4 linked regions of the Caenorhabditis elegans genome follow. The protein of the gene in region 4 purifies or fractionates together with the protein of the main gene of each other region. This does not show direct contact. Each region holds a gene or a part of one and is shown on either strand. Other genes may lie near its edges. The genes, in order: fcp-1, C17F4.7, eak-7 and elpc-4.

Region 1 (6,505 bases), on a different chromosome or scaffold from region 4:
ACCGCTGAAAATACATACAAAAAAGGCGCTTAGTGCGCGTGTGTGCAAAAATGCTCTATAGACAAAAAATGCGAGAAAATATTTCTTTTCAAAAGAGAAAAGTAAATACTTTTTTCATAAACTTTCACTGCAATGGTAAATAAACTAGTCACTAAAAGGAAATGAAATAAGTTTTTTCAATAGCTAATCACTCTACCAATTTTTTTCAAAACTTTTTGCGAATATATAGCTTTTAATAACTTTTAATAATAAGGAAATAGTAAAAGATCGATAAAAATCCAGTTCGGCAAAACGTGTTGTTGAAACGATTGATTGTGTAATATAAGACCACATTGAATTGTATACAAATTGTAAATTATTGATTTTTGTGGAAATGTAAACATTGTACTACATTTGTTACATGAAACTTTTTTTGGTCTCGCGTAACAAATACTATACATTAATCCTATAATTCGAAAAAAATAAATCATACTTCCGAATCAAACGGCATTGCGAAAGCGTCAGCAAGAAAAATAGAAATGAATCTCATTCATTTTCAGAAAAAAATAATAACGATCAACGTGAAACGAGAGAAGAAATGAGACAATGACGCGATTTAGAAAAAAAAATTAATTCGATAAAATGAAAATAGAGGTATTTAAGTAAGCAATCGAAAGATGAATAACTCCATAGTGACAGACTTTTCTTGAATTTACAATCAAAAGGCAAAAGATAAGTGAATAAAAAGCAATCTATATTCCAAACCGTGAACGTTTATATATGACAAAAATGCAGGCTTCTAGTGAAGTTTTGATTGATTTGATGAAAATCACTCTGATCAAGCAGCCGACATTAATTGTCAGATTATTCCCATTTAAATGGAGGTAAATAGTACAGAAAACATTGAGTATCGAATCAAATGGGGAACGGGGGTGATAATTATGAGATGTAAAAGATGGGAAACAACTGAAAGAATAATAGGAAATGAAAACAATAATAGCACATGATGATTTCACAGAAAACTCATTGATCTTTTTCATCTACTGCATCGCTAATCTGACGTTCGATCAATGCAGCCATATCCTCGAACTCATCGTCATCATCAGATTCCGGTACTTCCTCATCTTCATTGTCTTCGTCATCTTCTTCTTCATCTATATTAGCTGGTGCGTGGCCTTTCTGTAAAAGTCTTTTTTTTTCAAAACACTTTTGATCTCCCAAGCAGGAATAATGATTCACGTGTTTCTTTGAATTTTTGTTTAATATCGATAAAATGTCGTATTTTTCGATAAATTCTAGACACTGGAACGATTTGGATTGATATTTTTAAGCTCAAGAAGCCAAAATTTAACTTTTTTCAAAAAATTCACTACTATTAATTTTAGCCACTATAAATTCAAAACTTTCCGTTTTATTTTCAATTTTTTATACTTGCCGCCCTTTTTACCTCATCATCAACATCAAATACTGCATCATCCTCGTTTTCTGGAACAATTCGACCTTTTTTGCGTGAATCTGACAAAAGTGCTTTGTACGACATAGGGGTATCGTCATCCTCATTATCAGAATCTGATTCCTGAAATAAATATTATTGGAATAAATTATTTTCAAGTTTCTTACCTCTTCCTCGTCCTCCATTTCAGGACAATGCTTTCTTTTCTGTCCCCTTGATGTAGAATCTGTCTCGTTTTCCAAAGCATCTCCTGATTGATTCTCAACAGATCCATTCTGCTCAACATCATCCATTTCTTCTTCATTTTTCTCTTGTTTCTCTTCTAAATTTTCATCTCCCTTATCTTCTCCAACATCATTCCCATCATCATCCTCATCCTCATTGTCTCCATCGTCTTCATCATCCGATAGAGCTTCATCTACTTCATTATTCATATCAGCTAACGCGGCTTTCCCAATTGTGTCCATATTTGCCAAATCATTGACATACTTTGATCCAAGTGGACGTCCAACTGGAGGAGTACTTTCTTTTGTTAGTTGAAACAGATTTTCATCTGCTTTAAGCCACTTTTCGACACAAGCATATACCCATTGAACTGTGACCACAAACTTATTGAGACGATTGGCTTGATAAACTTTTCTGAAAATAAAAGAATTTTAAAATGCTAAAATGATAAAACTAACTGTGTTCCATATCTTGCTCCAACAACATGAGTAACATCATCAGTCACATCTGGTACAATAACTGCTCCAAATTGAGTACACAAACGATAAATATCAGTTCTTTCAAGCTTTTCACCCATTGGTACGATTCCCGAAAAAACAATGACACATCCATCAAGAACTTTGTGTCGTTCCTCTTTGATCACTTCCTGAAAATCAACTTCTAGAAGTCCAAAAGACTTAAATATTCAACTTAGAATAATAATTCAATAACTAAATATTTAAAATGAAAATTTACCTTTACATCAAGCAACACTTCCTCGGATCCTCTTAAATCGTGCTTTTCATAATATTTATCATGAATATTCGTTAAAACTCGCTCAATTTCTTCAAGAACCTTATCCTCATGAGCATCATCTTCAATTTGAACTGGCATTTGTTCTTTTGAGTTTTTTGGAGCATTAATGTCGCCGACTTCTTTGAAGAATCGATAAGGTTTGATTTGAATAAGTGCTTCAGAATACATCCAGACATCTGATCGATCATCAATAATCACTACAAGATTGTCGCCACATGGGAATAGAGCCTGAATAAAAATTGTTGTGTTTAACACTTATTCTATGATGTTAAAAAAAAACCAAATTTCATGGTAACACTTTTTAAAAATTTGAAATTTTCATTAACAGTCGAAAAATTGATGAAAACTCATTTTTCATTCATCACAATTCTGATCGATTAATATTTTCTACGAGTTTCATGTTTTCAGGGCTGAAGATTTCTTGTTTTTCGCTTTAAAAAAAATGGTGTTTTTTTTTGACAAAAAATGTACTTTCCGTTTTTTTATATTAAAGAGCAAAAAAACGAAGAATTTGTAAAAAACTTTTAAATGACTTTAAAATTATAGTTTTTAGTTTTTCGCTTTTTTCGTGATTTTTGCGAATTTTGGGCAAACTCCATTGGAGTTTGAAATTATTTTTATTTTTAATTTTTAAAAATTATACCTTCAAATTATTGGTCTTGTGTTGAGCCGAGAATAGTTCATCTCGAGACAAAATGCGTTGTTCAAAGAGTCGAGCATCTGGATCAAGAATCTGAGCAATACGATGAGCATATTGACGTTGTCCATAGGTAACAATGTGCATTTCATACATATTTGACATTTTATTCAAGAATTCTGTTGTATGTGGTCGGAGTTTAGTGGTATAAACACGAGAGTGAAGGTTATATTTGGTGATGTCTTTGTGCTGAAATTTATAGAAAATATATGAGTATTCCTATCAAGAGTGACAATTTTTCGATAATTTTAGAAAATCAAAAAACACAATTTTTTTGTACCAAAATTAAATTAGAAAAAAGGTTTCTCGGAAAATAATTTAAAGTTTTTGTCGATTTTTCTTATTACGATAAGAAAATTATGCTTTTCTAACTTTATCATTTACATAGAAGCTCGATGAGAAATTTTTTTTGAAATCTTTATTAATTTTCTGAAAAGTGTTTTTTTTTTCGAAAAATGGCTTTACATTTTGGCCATTTTTTTTCTAGAAGAAAATTATATGGTTGTTTGAAATTATTTGTTTTCATCGACACGACCAAAATTCGTTAAATTTGTGTTTTAATTTTTTGCTAATTTTCGGAACATTTTTTTTCAATTTTTCAGTTTTCTCTGAGAAAAACTGAAAAAAAACTTTTTTTTCGTCAAAACTATTGATTCTTACATTTTCAGTATCCACAGTCATTGGTTTGTCGGAAGTGTGAATAATTGTCTGATCCAAATCAACAAGCAATACGAGTTTTCTATTGGTGATCAGATTGTTTTCATCGGCTGATCCAATCTCTTTTGCTAGCTGAAAAAAAAGTTTTTTATCGAAATATTATTTGCCTAGTAGGCGAATTTTTGAGCCAAAAATGCGGTTCACGGTCTCAACACGACAATTTTTGATAAATGCAAAAATATGTTCGTCTTTAAAAAGAACTGTAATATTATGGGATTTTCATGAAGTTTTCTATTTTTCTCAAAATCGTATACTTTACTTAAAAATAGTTTAAACTTGCTTTATTTTAAAGTTTTAATTAACTTTCGAAAAACGATGAAAATTCTGCATTAGCTATTTAAAGGCGCACAACGTTTTGCGAGACCGGTTACCGTATTTTTATTGAAAAAATCGCCGCATCCGGGTAATAAAAATGATGCTAACCGTATCCGACACAATAAGTTCTGGAACATGATGAATCATAGATACATTAGCCGTTGATTGTTCCTTTCTCTGACCGGCTCGTCCTCCCTTTTCACGTAGATCTTTACCACATGTTGCACACATATCTTTGATAACAATTGCATGAGTACATTCGGATACTGTAGCAATCACTTGACCCTGAAAATGAAAACAGTTTCAATTGAATAAATAATTTCAATTTACCTTATTCAATACGATTCCTGGTTTAAGACCTTTTCCAAAAGTAACTACACCCTCACATGGTGTCTTTATCTTTCCCGCCACTTTTCCGTTGATTTTGAATTCTATCAGAACGTGATCTTTCAATACAAAACTTCCTTCACTGGCCTTTTTCAGGCCAGCTGTGCACTCGGCATCGTTTCCTTCAAATTTAATATCCATCTGGAAAAGAATATTTATATCTTTTCAATTAAGATATCAAATTCGACTGTTATTGAATTATTAAATGTTATTTAAAAGTAAAATTTTTCAACAATTTTGTGTTCATCATCTAAAATACATATGTACGCATTCTCTCCAAAACTTTTTTTTCAATTTTCGATTTTATTACCAAAAGGTTAATTTCGGCGCTTTTTTTGAAATCGAATCTGTAAAATTAGCCATTCTGATATTATTTGCGGCAAATTCAGGACCGAGAAATTTTGGGATAAAAATAAGAAAAAAGGTAAAAATAGAGTAAAAATAAAACGGAATTTTTATTCCAACAGGAACAAGAAAAGTGAAAAAAAAACAGAATAATTCCACAGATGGGACGAAAAATGAATAAAAATGGAAGCGTTTTTAGAAAAAAAAAATAATGGTGAAAAAAGAGAATCAAAGTCACAGTAGATGTGGTTCCCTCTAAGAAGAACTAGAAAAATAGGGGGGAATATGAGAAAAACGAATAATAGGATGGAACATAATTAATAACTCAAATATAGATACAAAAATGATTACAAAAGATCAAATTTAATCTTGGTACTCTTGTGTTTGACATCTACACTCTCCTTTGGAACTTTTCGAGACGAAGATTTCTGAAATATCTAAGATTAAAATTCTTCAAAAACAACAAAAATTACCTTCTCCTTTTCCCCAATGCTCTCCACGTCAGTTTCGTCCTTCTTCCGGCGATCCCGCTTCGACCGCTAAAATTTTTAAATTATATATTTTTTGATTAATTGAATTTTAGTGAAATATTTGTGAATAAAACGTACTTCTTCATCTTCTTGTTCCTTGGTTGATGATGAGGACGAGTATTGACGAACTCTGATGTTTGTCGTTGGTTTGCTCGAAGCAACAGTAAACGAGACAGGTTTTCGTTCAAGTGATGGAGCAGTAGTAGTTCTAGAGCTTGAAGAAGTGGATGAGTCAGCTTTCTGCATACGCTCATGAACCGATTTTCGTGGTTTCTCAGACTCTTTCTCAACGATTTTCCGCTTCTCTTTGCGATCCTTCTCGTGTTCCTTTTCCACTTCCTTCTCGCGTTGTTTCTCTTTTTCATTATCCCGATCACTCTCCTTTCTTTTACTCTTCTCCTTTTCATAGTCATCCTTCCTGCGTTCCCTGTCCCGTTCATAATCTTTCCGATCGTCACGCTTCTTGTCTTCACGCTTCACCTTTGTCTTGGGGGCCTGCAATTTCTATAAAAATTTGTTCATTTTTCCTAAACCCGGAAGATGATTTCTGATTGCTAAATTTTTCCTCAAAACAATCAACAATTAAAACAACTAATCTAAAAATAAGAATAAACCAAAACTTACATCACTGTCATATGCCTCGGTCTCTCGATCTCGCTTTCTCTCTTTCTTTCTATCTTGCTCATCAATTTTTTGAGAATCTCTTTCATGCCGACGTTCCTTACGATCATCCTCATCATCATGTCTACGGTCTTTCCTGTCTCTCCGATCGGATTCCTTAGGAAGCTCCTCTTTTCTATCCTCGAAGATGTCCTCTTCATCCTCATTCCATTTTCCTTTCTTCTTTTCTTTTTTGTCAGCAAAATTTTTGTCCAACTCCACTTTGTCCTCATCATCTAGAGATCTTGGCTCTTTTCTATTAGAATCCTCATCTTTATCATCCTGATACTTTCTTTCCTTCTTTTTTTCTTTCTTTTCGGTATCAAGATCATCCTCATCCTCATCTCTCTTCTCCTTCTTTGACTTTTTCTCTTTTTTGTGCTTCTTGTGCTTCTTCCGTTT
Region 2 (3,272 bases), on a different chromosome or scaffold from region 4:
GTTTCTCGCCAATTCTTCAAATTTTAATATTTTTTTGAAAAAAAAAATTATTGCAATTTCCCACATGTAATATTAACTTTATAATAAGTTGTTTTTTGTTTTTCTGGTTTTTTTTTCAATATCTAAAAAGTGTACTAGAAGTTTGACCCCCCCCCCCCCCCCTCGAAGAAGTGATAGCGAACAGGATAATCTTGAGATAAAAGGGAAATTGGAAAGTGACACGGATTGAACTTTTGGGAATTTGGAAGAGATGTGTAGGAAAACTACAAATTAAAAATTTGTTGAAAAATTCAGAAATTAATTTTTTTTAATGTTAAATAATTTCTAGACTGCAAAAATTATAGAAAAAATTGAAATGCTTTACACATTTCTGAAAAATTCTGTAGTTTTTTTTTTGGAATTTTCTGAAATTTCCTAAAAAATCACAAATACTAAATATACGCATTTTTATGACCTCTGCTCCGATAATGAGCAGTTCTCCATCACCGACATCCTTTTTATGACCCTGCCATAAAAATGTTTGATTTTTGAAAATAATGAAACAAGTTACTTTTTTAGTAATATTTTCAATTGTCATGCGCATATGTATTTATTATCGAGCATATCAAAATGTACAAAAAAAAATTAGGAGAGCTCAAGTTGTGCCATAACACAGGCAATCTCTTCGTGCTTTGTATTTCCTGGATTGTGGTTGAACATGCGGATTTCCAGTTCGTAGGGCTTCTGAAAATGAGAAAACAGTGAATTTAAAGAAAATTTTGAGATCACAATGGAGTGTATGTAGTTTGTAGTTTGTGACGTCGCTAGTTTGAAACTGGAACATCTCAAATTCTAGCACATACTGCTGTACTGTAGGAGTTATGTTTTCAGATAATGTAAGGGTACTGTAGGATAACTGTTTTCCTAGATTACCAAAGGATTCATTTAAAGTTATTGTGGTTGGGTACTGTAGGAGTACTGTAGGGGTACTGTAACTTACATGCGCAGCCAGAAGCTCAATGATGACAGAAAACTGGCTCAAATCCAACGGCAAAATCAAAAACAGCGGTCCTGACTCCAACGGGCAATTGTGTGCAAAATCACAGCCATCAATATCATCCAACAATCCAAAAGTGGGAATCGACTTCCAAGAGCATCCACCAGTCCATCCTGACTTGTACTGATTGATTTTCACTTTCACCTTATTATCATCAATTTGTTCTCCATGATTGTAAGTGGTAAGGTTCAGAATAAACGGATGGCGGGGGTCAATCGGGTAGTAGGGCTTCTGATTAGAGTCCAAAGTCTGAATATCGGTGATTGAAAATTGCTCATTGTCGGAGCACATGTAGGAGTGAATCGCCTTGTCAGTACCATTTGGGAATGGGCAGTCTGCAAAGTTGACCGGGTTGGCTCCGATGGTGAATGCTCCGACGAGCAGGAGAAACAGAACTGATAACATAGCCAGAAAAGTGCAATGGTTTCCTAGTTTGGAGCGGGGTTTTATATGCTGAAACCAGTCACACCACCCTTATCAGTTTAACTATTTTGTGTCGCATAGTTAATATGTGGATGACGCTGAACGAGCCATAAAAGTGCAGTTAGTGAAGTAGTGATAAGGAAAATTGGCTGCTTGGTTTTTGAAGTTTGGAAACCATATGAAAAACGGAAATTGAAAATTAAATTGCAATCTCCGGATTCCAATTACAAACTACCTATGTAAGACCTGAGATGTCCGGTAGACTGCCTATTTTCAGAGAAATTTCCAGCTTCCAGCAAATTATCAAAATCTAGATATTCCAATTTATTTAATTACTATTATAAAACACAATAAAATTCTATACAAAATTTAATAACGACACAAATGCTTCGACTTTCCAACTCCCTCCACTTTGTCCATAAACTCGTCGAGCAATGTTTCAATCATATAGTACAACTTGTTGAGGCCAACTCGGTCGATTGTGATGGTGAGCAACCATTTCTCGGGGCTCTTCTTTTCACAGTACGCGTAGATTTCCATGGTGTCACTCACGGTGTAGACAATCACATTGGGGAACTCTTCGCATCTGAAATAATAGATAAATTAATGAATGACAAGGTAAAAAGCGCCGTAAATCTACAAGAAAACATTTACAATTTGGCAGAAATTTAAGTAAATCTACATGAAAATCCGCAAGTCTACACAAAGATCCGTAAATCTTTACGTAGGTTCGTAAATCTACACTTGCTTCCGTAAATCTACACGTCCTTCCGTAAATCTACACTGGCGTCCGTAAATCTACACCTACCGTAAGTTCACACATTCCTCTTGTAAATCCACATAGTCTTCCGTAAATCTACACTATCTACTTCCCGTTTATCTACGCCACCTACCGCAAGTTCACTCATTCCTTCCGTAAATCTATGTGTAGATCCGTAAATCTACACAGTCCCCGTAAATCCACACTAACCCCCGTAAATCTACACTAGCCCCCGTAAATCTTCACGGGCTCCTGTAAATCTACACTAGCTTCCGTAAACCTACACAATCTCCCGTAAAACTACATGTGCTTTCGTAAATCTACTCAACTTTTCGTGAATCTACACAGACCACCTATATCCTCACATTCCTCCGTAAATCTACACCTATTCCCGTAAACCCACACTAAAAACCGTAAATCTACCTAACTACCCGATAAACTCACACTTTTCCAAAAAATTTGATCGGATCCTTCTTTCCGGCGTCGCCAAGCACCTCAGACAACGCGAACACTTGCTTCACCAGCTCCGGATTTGACAGCGTGAACTTGTAGTGGAAATTACCGGCAGTTTTGATATTCTCCGTAGTCCCATCGGCCCATTTCTCGATAAGCCGCATAAAATCGTCGACCGTGTAGTCGTCCGCGCTCTCCAAATGAATCCTCTTGTTCGGAAGGCTGCAAAGGAAAGAAACCGGCACCGAACGTCCCAGGATCACCAGCTTCTTTGCGTTTTTGCAAGCATCGTGACTGAAGTTCTCGAATTTCTCAAAATCCTTGTGCCCAATCACATAGAGCCTACGAAGCGGGAAGCTCTTCTCATCAAGCATCTTGCTCAGCGAGCCCATCACCGAAGCCACGTTGGATTGGATCGTCAAGCAGAGAGCCTTCACTTTCAGGGACTCCGGGAACTTTAAGACTTCCGAATTGGGGATGAGAAGAAGCCCGATGCTCAGAGGCTCCTGGTATCCACTGAGCAGTCGGGAAATGAGATCCTCCATGGAGTGACGTGAGGGCTCACGGATTTGCTGGCCGGTCCGCTTGTCGAGCACGGTA
Region 3 (4,761 bases), 4.5 Mb from region 4:
TATATTTTTTGTATATATATAAAATATTTTTTGAAGGAGCGACGAAGAAGGCCGGCCGGCGTGAGGCTCCGACGCCGCGCGACTCTGACATGGAATCCTCAATTAAAATACATGAATCGTAGAAAAAGACAAGAGATGTTTGGTTATCTTCCAAAATTATGGCTTTCACCCACTTTTTGACAGGAATTTAAATTTTTTGTCACCATTTTTCACTATCGGAACTTAAAATAAATGCGAATTCTGAGCTGAAAACGTACGTACGTAATATCGTGAAAATGTTCGGACATTTCGATAAACTCTTGGATCGGCTGAAACGTCGGCTCACGGGTGAAATATGGAGCACTGCTGTCGCTGCTAGGGTGTTGGAAGCGGCAAATCACACGAGGAGTCGACGCGAGAAGAGACGGATCGACGGACGCAGTTTGAATGATTTTTTGTAATCCGCGTTAGAGAATGAGCTCATCATCTTGAATTGGAAGCCTTATAAAAATGTTATGTTTTAGTTGGTATGATGAAAAAATCGAAAATTCATTTTTATTTGAAAATTTCTAGAATTTTTGATTGAAAAATTGCAGAAACGTATGGATGTGAAAATTTACATGTAAAATTGTCGAAATATTAACAACCATTGTTTAGCTCACGGCGGCAGGACATGGGGACGGGCGGCGGAAAAGTATTATGAATTCAAAGATATAGTGATCATTTAAAGGCGCACATGGGTCTTGCAGCGTTTAAATAGCACAGGAGATACAAAAACTGATGAAAGTGGAATTACAGGTGATGTAAAGGATCAAAGAAGACTGAGAAAGTGGCAATTGGGGATTAGAGGTTCCGGAGCCTATTCACCATCGAGCAGGGGAGCCGGATCACGATACGCTTCCGAATGCATCGATTTTCCGGCCAACTCGAGCACCGCACGAGCCTCCGGATCCTTGTCGATTATCGATTTTTCCGGCGATCGTTCCTCGAGCAAGATTTGCTCTTCGAATGATTTCTGTGGTTTGTCGCCCGGGCGCCAAGCCTCGATTGTTTTGATCTGGAAAATGCATGTTTTTGTTTCGTTTTTTCGGCTTTAAGGGCTTTAGTCCCGATTCACCTTGAACTCGTCCTCTTCGGCAATGTGGCAAGGCTCAAACGAACTGGAATTCTTTTGGCACGTTCCACCGCCAAACTCCTCGTGGATAAACAACGGCCATACGGATTCGGTTCCACCAATTCCCTGAAATTTGAAAATTTCACACTTAAAAATCGTAAAACTGGTTCTCTAGATACTGAATGATCCATGGCGGGATATACTCACCAATCCATTCGGATGTTGCTGTTGCTGGTAGTTTAGGTACACGTAATTCTCAGTCCGCCCGGTCGCATCAAAAGTTGCAATTTTCGGAGCCAGCTGGAAGAGGAAACACTCGGCCGTGCCACGGTATTGGGGTCCCGCGAGAAAACCTAAAAAATTTTCAATTTTTAGAGAAAATTGGTACTCAAATAGTATCTGCTAGAATTCCGTTGCTTTATCATAATTGAAAAAATGAAGAATTACTGCGAAACTTGTAACACAGCCATGTGTGGATTTACGCAGTTCGTGTATTCCTCGTGGAGGAAGATTTTACAGTTTTTGGATGAAATGTTCAATTTTTGAAACTGTTTGTCAATTTTTTTGATATTTAAAACTGGAATCATCAATTTATCTATAATTTATAGCATTTTTGAAAATGTATTTGCTATTGTAAAACTACAATTTCTCGGTTTCAGTCTACAAAAAGAAAGATCTGAAATCTAGAAAATCTGCAAAAAAAGTAAAATCTGTAAAATCTTCTGCAAATCATAAGGTATAAATTCTTCTCGAGGAGTACACGAGCTGCGTAAATCGACACAACATTTCTTGTGTACCTTGCGAGGCGAAAAACCCAAATCGTCGTCCTTTCATTGATCTGATCACAATCATACAAGGACCTTCTCCATTAATACATTTAACCAATTGTGAGAAACTTTGCCCGTGTTTCATGTTTGAATATAAAAGTGTCCAATTTTTGCGTCGATCGAATGGAAGGTGCGAGTTGAGCACTAATTGATCGATATTTCCCATTAAATGAGTCTTGTCCGAGAGAATTGGCATTTTCGAGTCTCCAGTTTTATCCAAAAGTCGTTGGAAAATGAACGAAGCACAATAGGCGAACAGTGGGCACATTGAGAAAAAGCTTTCCAGTTCGCTCACTGGTTTTGTATTTTCTGTTTCGAAATAATCGTAGAGACGGACCTGATCCTCTCGGGTGAATTTGTTTCCTTCACAGAAGATTTTCACAACATTTCGCATTATCTGACAAAAAAAAAAGAAGTTTTTCTTTAAATTAATAAATTCGAAACCTGATCTTTTTGATCTCCAAAACAGAATCTGAGCATATCGGCGAGCTGATCGAAATGTCCCAGTCCAGTATCAATACATTTTAGGATTGTTTTAGCGAGCAAAACGCCCTGCGGCTCGTTTTTTACCAAACGAAAGTAGAATTGTGATGAATATTCACCCAGAATCGGTATGAACATTGCCTGGAATTTGAAAATTTTATATTAAAATGTATTTTCCTTCTAAAAATTAATTCACCACAAACTGGTCTCGCGTCATTTTGTCCTTTCCATCTGTGTGTTTTTTGAGTTTTTCCATAAAATGTGCATAATCCTCATCGTTAATATTTTTTAGATCTTTTCGCTTCGAATTTTGAGCTCCCATTTCTGAAATTATATGTTTTTTATCTGAAAATCCGGATGCGAAATAGTTAGTAAAAACTGTGAGAAATCAACATTTAGTATGAGAAAAAATTCAAGGGAAGAAGAAGAAAAAGTAAGATGAATAGTTTCATATTGAAAATTTTTTTTAAAAATGCACAAAAATTTGAATTTTTGGCAAAATTTGTGTTTTCACATATAAATAAAATAATTCCGAAAATCGTAATAAAATGCAACAAAAGTTATTGAATAAGAGATTAAAAGCAGGAGGCACAACATAGTAGTCATGAATCCTCTCAACACGTGCATAATCAGTAGAAAAAGAAGAAGAAGAAGACGTGAAAAGAGTATATGTATGTAGGAGAGACGCAGAGAAGCACACAAAACGAATTGGAATTATGATGATGATGAAGAAGGAAGCGACGATGATTCATTTGGGAAGAGTGTAGAGCTGGAAAAAATAGAAATTGAAGAGAGATTAGTTATTAATAATCTCTACAAATTGATTTTTTAGTGGAAATTTGGCATCTTTCAGACCATTTTTGAGCTCTTCGGCGAATTTTTCAGCCAAAATTAATAGGTGAAGTTCTATATTTTTATACTAATTTTTAATGATAAAGTCTTGGAATAACGGTGCAATCGGCCTGATTACCACGTGGTAAATCGATTGGAAAGGCGCTAGGAAATCTAAATATATTTCAAACTAAAGTTAAGAAGGAATAAAAGGATTGACTTCATACATGAAAATTATAAAATATTCGGCCAAAGAGCGTTTTTTACTGTATTTCTAATTGGGTCCCACGGCCCATATTATTGTTTTTTTTTGAAATTTCAAAGTCGACATCAAAAACAACACTGTTTTTCAAAAATAACGAGTGGTCAAAACATCGACCGAAATTTTTGAGAATGTTTCCCATTTTTCTCATTCCGTACCAATCTTATTGAGCGCTTGGCGGATGTTCAACTTGGTTCGATTGCAGCAAATCGTTGATATTCTTCTCCAAATCATCGATTCTCGTTGTCATATCATCGATTCGCCGAATAATCTGATCCGACATGTGCTGGAATCGATCCTGTGTCTGTTGCAGAACTCCTTGTATCTGAGTTTTAGGATTTTTTAGAAAATTGACAATTTTTTTCAAGTATTTACGTACCAACGACGTCAAATCATTCATATTTCCATCGGCTGGAGCGTCGAGTTGAGCGGTTGGTGTGGTAGACTTCTCATCGGACATTTTGAACTGAAAATCTGTAAAAATACGATAAAAATCACAAAGTTTAATCAGTTTTTAAAGAAAATTTGATGAAAAATCAATTAAAACTGGTGAGAATCCAGTACCAGGCAACTAGCCGTCATCTCACAAACAGTGGAACACACAAAAGTACGGGAACAACAACACGAGAGAAAGTACGTCGAAGTGAGAGACGACAGAGAAAAAGAGGGCGGCGAGAGAGTGAAAGAGACGCAGAGAAGGAGTCATTGGAGAAGGACAGATGGTGTAAACGGCGAAAAGAGCAGAATAAGATGATTTGTTTTATGTAAAATAGTGTGGATTTCGAGGAAAATATAATTATTAGAAACACTTTGAGAAAAAAAAAACATCTGAATCGAGGAATTTTTAATTAAAAAGAGAAATTTTCAAAGCAGAATGGGTTACTGTAGCTAATAAGTTGTGTGACAAGTCGTGTTTTCGTGTGTTTGGTCCGTAAACAAAACTTCGGCGCCAAAACTTCACTCGTTTCAGCAATTTTTAGGAAGTTTCCAGAAATTTTTCCTCATTCTTGCTTTTTTTCGTGATGAAATCTCGTTTTCTTTTAAGAAGTTCTTAAATTTATCAATAAACCATCAAAATTCAAGTTTTAGGCCGTCTTGCCGTGATGTCTGCCGACTACTCATCGGAGAAGTTCAAGGCGACGCATCTGGTATTAAAATGTTTCACATTTGTCTTTTGAAATTTTATTCTGATTTTCAGTTCGACGAAATTCTATGGCATTTTCGTTCAAACTTATCACTCAAAACGAACAGAAGAGGATTGGCCA
Region 4 (3,782 bases):
GACATCACACGTATTTCTCTCTATTACCAACTTATCATCATCTGCAATGGATTTGACTATCGCACCTCAATCTGGAAATGGTTTCATTCAATGTTCCAGTGATCCAATCCAGCTTCTTCTTCCATCATCGCGAGCATCGGATACTGCTGCTCCTGGAGTTCATGCTGACCAAAGGTTAGTTTTTTCTTGTTTTTAATTGACTAAAAATGGTATTCCAGTGACGTCATCGTGTTCCGACAGCACAACCGAGTTGGCCTTCGACTGGATGTTATTCCCACCGAGATGGATCTCTCTTCTCCATGTCTCAATCTTTTGATTACATATTGTCAGGATGGATCGTTCCGTCTCTCCTCCGCTAGTGACAAAATATTGAAACCAGAAGAAACGTGTCCTGATCCAATTCTCTCTGCTAATTTAAAAGTAGATCTCAGATAATCATTTCATGTATATTTGTTTCTATCCTTTCTCTACCACAGCGTGTCTTTTCTTAAACATAATTTATAAGCTTTGTTAAATATTTAGAAGACGTTTTTATGCTTTAAATTAAATACTTTAAAATTCAACATTCAAACATCCCAACAACAAATAAACATGATCGAGAAAATCAAAAATCAATATTCTGGCAAGATGGAGTATTTTGATGACCTGGAGCTGGCTCATCAAATGCAGGTGGAAGATGCATCACTCGAATTTGGAAACCTTTTCTGGAACTTGCTTCAAAAATAAGATCGAGAATCGGTGGAGTGTGTGTTCCAACGGACATCAATCGGGGCAAACTCTTCAAATGGAAGTATCCATGAGCAGTGCCAAGATGTTTGAACATTTTCTTCTCATTTTCATCAAACGGCATCAGTTGAATATGTGTATCAGCTGCGGATTCCAGTATACGCCAAGTTGGTTTCGGAACTCTGAAGGAGTTAGCCGTGATGTATACAATCATGTAACTCGAACGAGCTAAAGATCGGAGACAGCACAGGAATCGGCCAAGGAACTTGTAATCTTCACAAATTTCCATATCGATATTCTTCAGAACCACTCGAAGAAGATTCTTTTTCGGTCCACCTGAAGTAAAATTCATTAGTTTATGTATAATAATTCAATAAAAATCTCACCTCTTCCGCCGGATTTTGTGTGAGCTTCATTTTCTTTTACAATTTGGCAGAGCGTCTCGTAAATCCCTTTTAGCGTAAAAACTTTCTCCGCATACACGTCAACATTCGGATTCTCTACATGCTTCGTAAAGTCATACTGATTTTCGTTGCTTAATGGTCCAAGGGAAGAGGAAACTTGTTTTACATTTCCATACCGCCACGCAATTTTCATCGAGTTTTCATTTTCTGCCGGCAGAGAATTTGGAATTTCTTGATTTTGCATATCCGTGGATGTTCTTCTAGATGGTATGAGATTGATCTCTTTGGGATCTTCCGTGGGATCCGCAATGAAGCATCGATGACCATGATGAAGTCCTTCTGCGAGGAATGAACGAATGAGATAAGATCCATAGCAACGAGAACGATACTCGTCTGAAAATGAATGTGATTTTAATTTTAGGTTAGCGGGTATTTAATGAACAGGTAGCAACTAAATTAATAAATTACCTATGAGAACAATACTTGAATTAACTAAAGCTCCTCCAATGAGTGTGTCAAATGAATCGCAACCACTTGAAGTTTCCAGTAAGCGTTTCTTTGTTGAACATCCGGCAATTTGAACACTATCACCAACGTTCAACATTCTGAAATTACTTTAAAAATATGAAATATTGATGTTGACCAGGAAATTACGATAAAAATATTTGCAAGGTTATTACCAAACCATAATGTAATTTGAGAAACAGAAAAGAAAAATGAGATTTAAACAAACTAATTATTATTTCTAAAAACAAAAATAGGGTTCTAACTAAAAAATATATAAAGAAACCCGCAATAAAACAATATGAATTATTATCAGACTACTCCAATCTTTTTTCGATCGTCTCCACTCAATTGCAGCTCCTTTCTGAGAGCTTCGCGAGCATCCATTTCCTGGCGTCGACCCATTACCACCTGAGATTTCACTGTTACAAACGCACCGAATCCGACAAGAATAATGATTAGGTAAGCCATCCATGTATTACGATGATTTTTATCGAGGTCATGTCGGCCGACAAGCTGGAAATCAATTTAAATCAGTTTTTAGAATATTCTTCAGTATATATAATTTACCTCTGATCGATAAGCCCATTTCACTTTCTGTCCTTGTATTGTCATTTCGCGATTTTTTTCTGCGCTTTTAATACGAATTTGTTCTTCAAGTAAGTCCATGTTTCTGAAAATTGTTGATTAAAAACTTGAAGGTTTAAAAAAGCATAATCTTACGTAATATCTCTCTGATCTTTAGTTCTGTGAAGCTTTGGATTTTTCACAGGAAGAGTACAGAGATATCGTTCAGTAGGAATACGTTGGATAATGCGAAGCATCTTAAAAAGGAAATTCAAAATAATTTTATAAAATTAATTTCCTCAAAAAAGAGGCCCCACGAAAAGGGGAGCAGAACGAAAAGGGGATCTGCAAAAAGGGGATCTGCGAAAAGGGGAGATACGAAAAGGGGAGATACGAAAAGGGGAGCAACGAAAAGGGGAGCTGGCACTGTGCCAAACGCACAAAACGCAATTTTTCTCACGCAACGCACGTTGATTTTTGAAATTTTCTTCTAGAAGATACGCTTAACAACACGCGACGCGTAACATCGGAGCATCGTTGTATCGTTTTCTTCGAGAAAAATAGCGTTTGGCACAGTGTCAGATCCCCTTTTCGTTGCTCCCCTTTTCGTATCTCCCCTTTTCGTATCTCCCCTTTTCGCAGATCCCCTTTTTTCAGATCCCCTTTTCGTTCTGCTCCCCTTTTCGTGGGGCCTCAAAAAAAAAGATTGTTGAAACTACGAGACTCCGAAATGACGGGCGCGCATGTTGTTTATCGTAAATAATCTAGCTTTTCGCCGCTAATTTTAACATTGTTTTTTTTTCTCATTTTAATTATTTTTTAGTAACTTTTTATCGTATGTTTCATTCTTTTTATATATTAAAATTTGTACATAAATAGGAATCTTAAGTTATTATAAATTAGATTCGTTTTCTATCGTCCTTTTTAGTAGAATATCCATAAAATGTTGCTGCAAGTGCCTGTGCAGGAAGTACATGGGCATATTCTTCAAGCCATTCTGTAAAGTTGAAATCATCCATTGCAATTCTAGCCAAATCTTTCTGTGTCCACGTGTCATTCTGCTCATAGAGCGCAAGAATCATGGTGTGCATTCCTTAAATTTTGTGTTTAAGATTACGAAAAAATATATTCGAGCTTACCAACTGGTCTATCAGTAGAATCTGGGGGTTGATAAGACACAGCAGACTTTGTTCTTCTATGAATCTCAAGCTGTCCATCAAATGCCGCAATATTTGCAACCAGCCAAGTGACAGCCTTTGAGGTAGCATCTGTCAATAACAATGCTTATTATACCTGTAATTAACTGTAGCAAAAAAACCTGCAAGTATAATTGTATAGAGCTTCTCGTCTTGAAGTTCAACTCCTGCTGACATGACTGGAGGATCTGCAAGTTTGTCCAGTATATCAGCGTCGAAAAGTTGACCCATCGATATTTGTTCGTCGCTAAAGGTTGCCTACAATCAAGTTGTTTAGTATTATATTCATCATTTAACATACAATTAGTTCATATGCCGGAGCAACTGGCAACAGACGAGGGACAATTCGATTCTCTCGGAATGCTGTAATAATATTATGTCCTTA

The links.
Region 1: the proteins of elpc-4 (region 4) and fcp-1 fractionate together in Caenorhabditis elegans (co-fractionation; one large-scale study listed by BioGRID). This does not show direct contact.
Region 2: the proteins of elpc-4 (region 4) and C17F4.7 fractionate together in Caenorhabditis elegans (co-fractionation; one large-scale study listed by BioGRID). This does not show direct contact.
Region 3: the proteins of elpc-4 (region 4) and eak-7 fractionate together in Caenorhabditis elegans (co-fractionation; one large-scale study listed by BioGRID). This does not show direct contact.

Annotation. Positions count from the first base shown.
Region 1 is NC_003279.8:9,004,000-9,010,504, forward strand, and holds fcp-1 (RNA polymerase II subunit A C-terminal domain phosphatase), read right to left. Parts: upstream 4,710-6,505; coding exon 4,512-4,709; intron 4,467-4,511; coding exon 4,290-4,466; intron 3,939-4,289; coding exon 3,810-3,938; intron 3,339-3,809; coding exon 3,096-3,338; intron 2,681-3,095; coding exon 2,393-2,680; intron 2,304-2,392; coding exon 2,116-2,303; intron 2,072-2,115; coding exon 1,600-2,071; intron 1,556-1,599; coding exon 1,427-1,555; intron 1,159-1,426; coding exon 1,003-1,158; 3' UTR 514-1,002; downstream 1-513. Other genes in the region: rbpl-1 (E3 ubiquitin-protein ligase RBBP6), read right to left, coding at 5,261-5,341, 5,387-5,452, 5,522-5,947, 6,068-6,505. UniProt on the Caenorhabditis elegans protein: During the late stages of oogenesis, dephosphorylates 'Ser-5' of the heptad repeats YSPTSPS in the C-terminal domain of the largest RNA polymerase II subunit ama-1.
Region 2 is NC_003280.10:3,244,545-3,247,816, forward strand, and holds C17F4.7 (MD-2-related lipid-recognition domain-containing protein), read right to left. Parts: upstream 1,472-3,272; 5' UTR 1,442-1,471; coding exon 980-1,441; intron 724-979; coding exon 625-723; 3' UTR 543-624; downstream 1-542. Other genes in the region: fbxc-50 (F-box domain-containing protein), read right to left, coding at 1,829-2,045, 2,664-3,272.
Region 3 is NC_003282.8:12,563,257-12,568,017, forward strand, and holds eak-7 (MTOR-associated protein MEAK7), read right to left. Parts: upstream 2,728-4,761; 5' UTR 2,726-2,727; coding exon 2,600-2,725; intron 2,545-2,599; coding exon 2,365-2,544; intron 2,318-2,364; coding exon 1,891-2,317; intron 1,447-1,890; coding exon 1,301-1,446; intron 1,220-1,300; coding exon 1,097-1,219; intron 1,037-1,096; coding exon 839-1,036; 3' UTR 519-838; downstream 1-518. Other genes in the region: hsb-1 (Heat shock factor-binding protein 1), read right to left, coding at 3,660-3,821, 3,876-3,956; Protein let-99, read left to right, coding at 4,600-4,644, 4,695-4,761.
Region 4 is NC_003282.8:8,014,956-8,018,737, reverse strand, and holds elpc-4 (Elongator complex protein 4), read right to left. Parts: upstream 1,745-3,782; 5' UTR 1,735-1,744; coding exon 1,599-1,734; intron 1,524-1,598; coding exon 1,113-1,523; intron 1,063-1,112; coding exon 605-1,062; 3' UTR 517-604; downstream 1-516. Other genes in the region: dnc-4 (Dynactin subunit 4), read left to right, coding at 1-174, 219-435; C26B2.7 (Cytochrome c oxidase assembly protein COX20, mitochondrial), read right to left, coding at 1,947-2,150, 2,205-2,307, 2,358-2,458; C26B2.8 (C3H1-type domain-containing protein), read right to left, coding at 3,101-3,294, 3,341-3,469, 3,520-3,655, 3,699-3,760.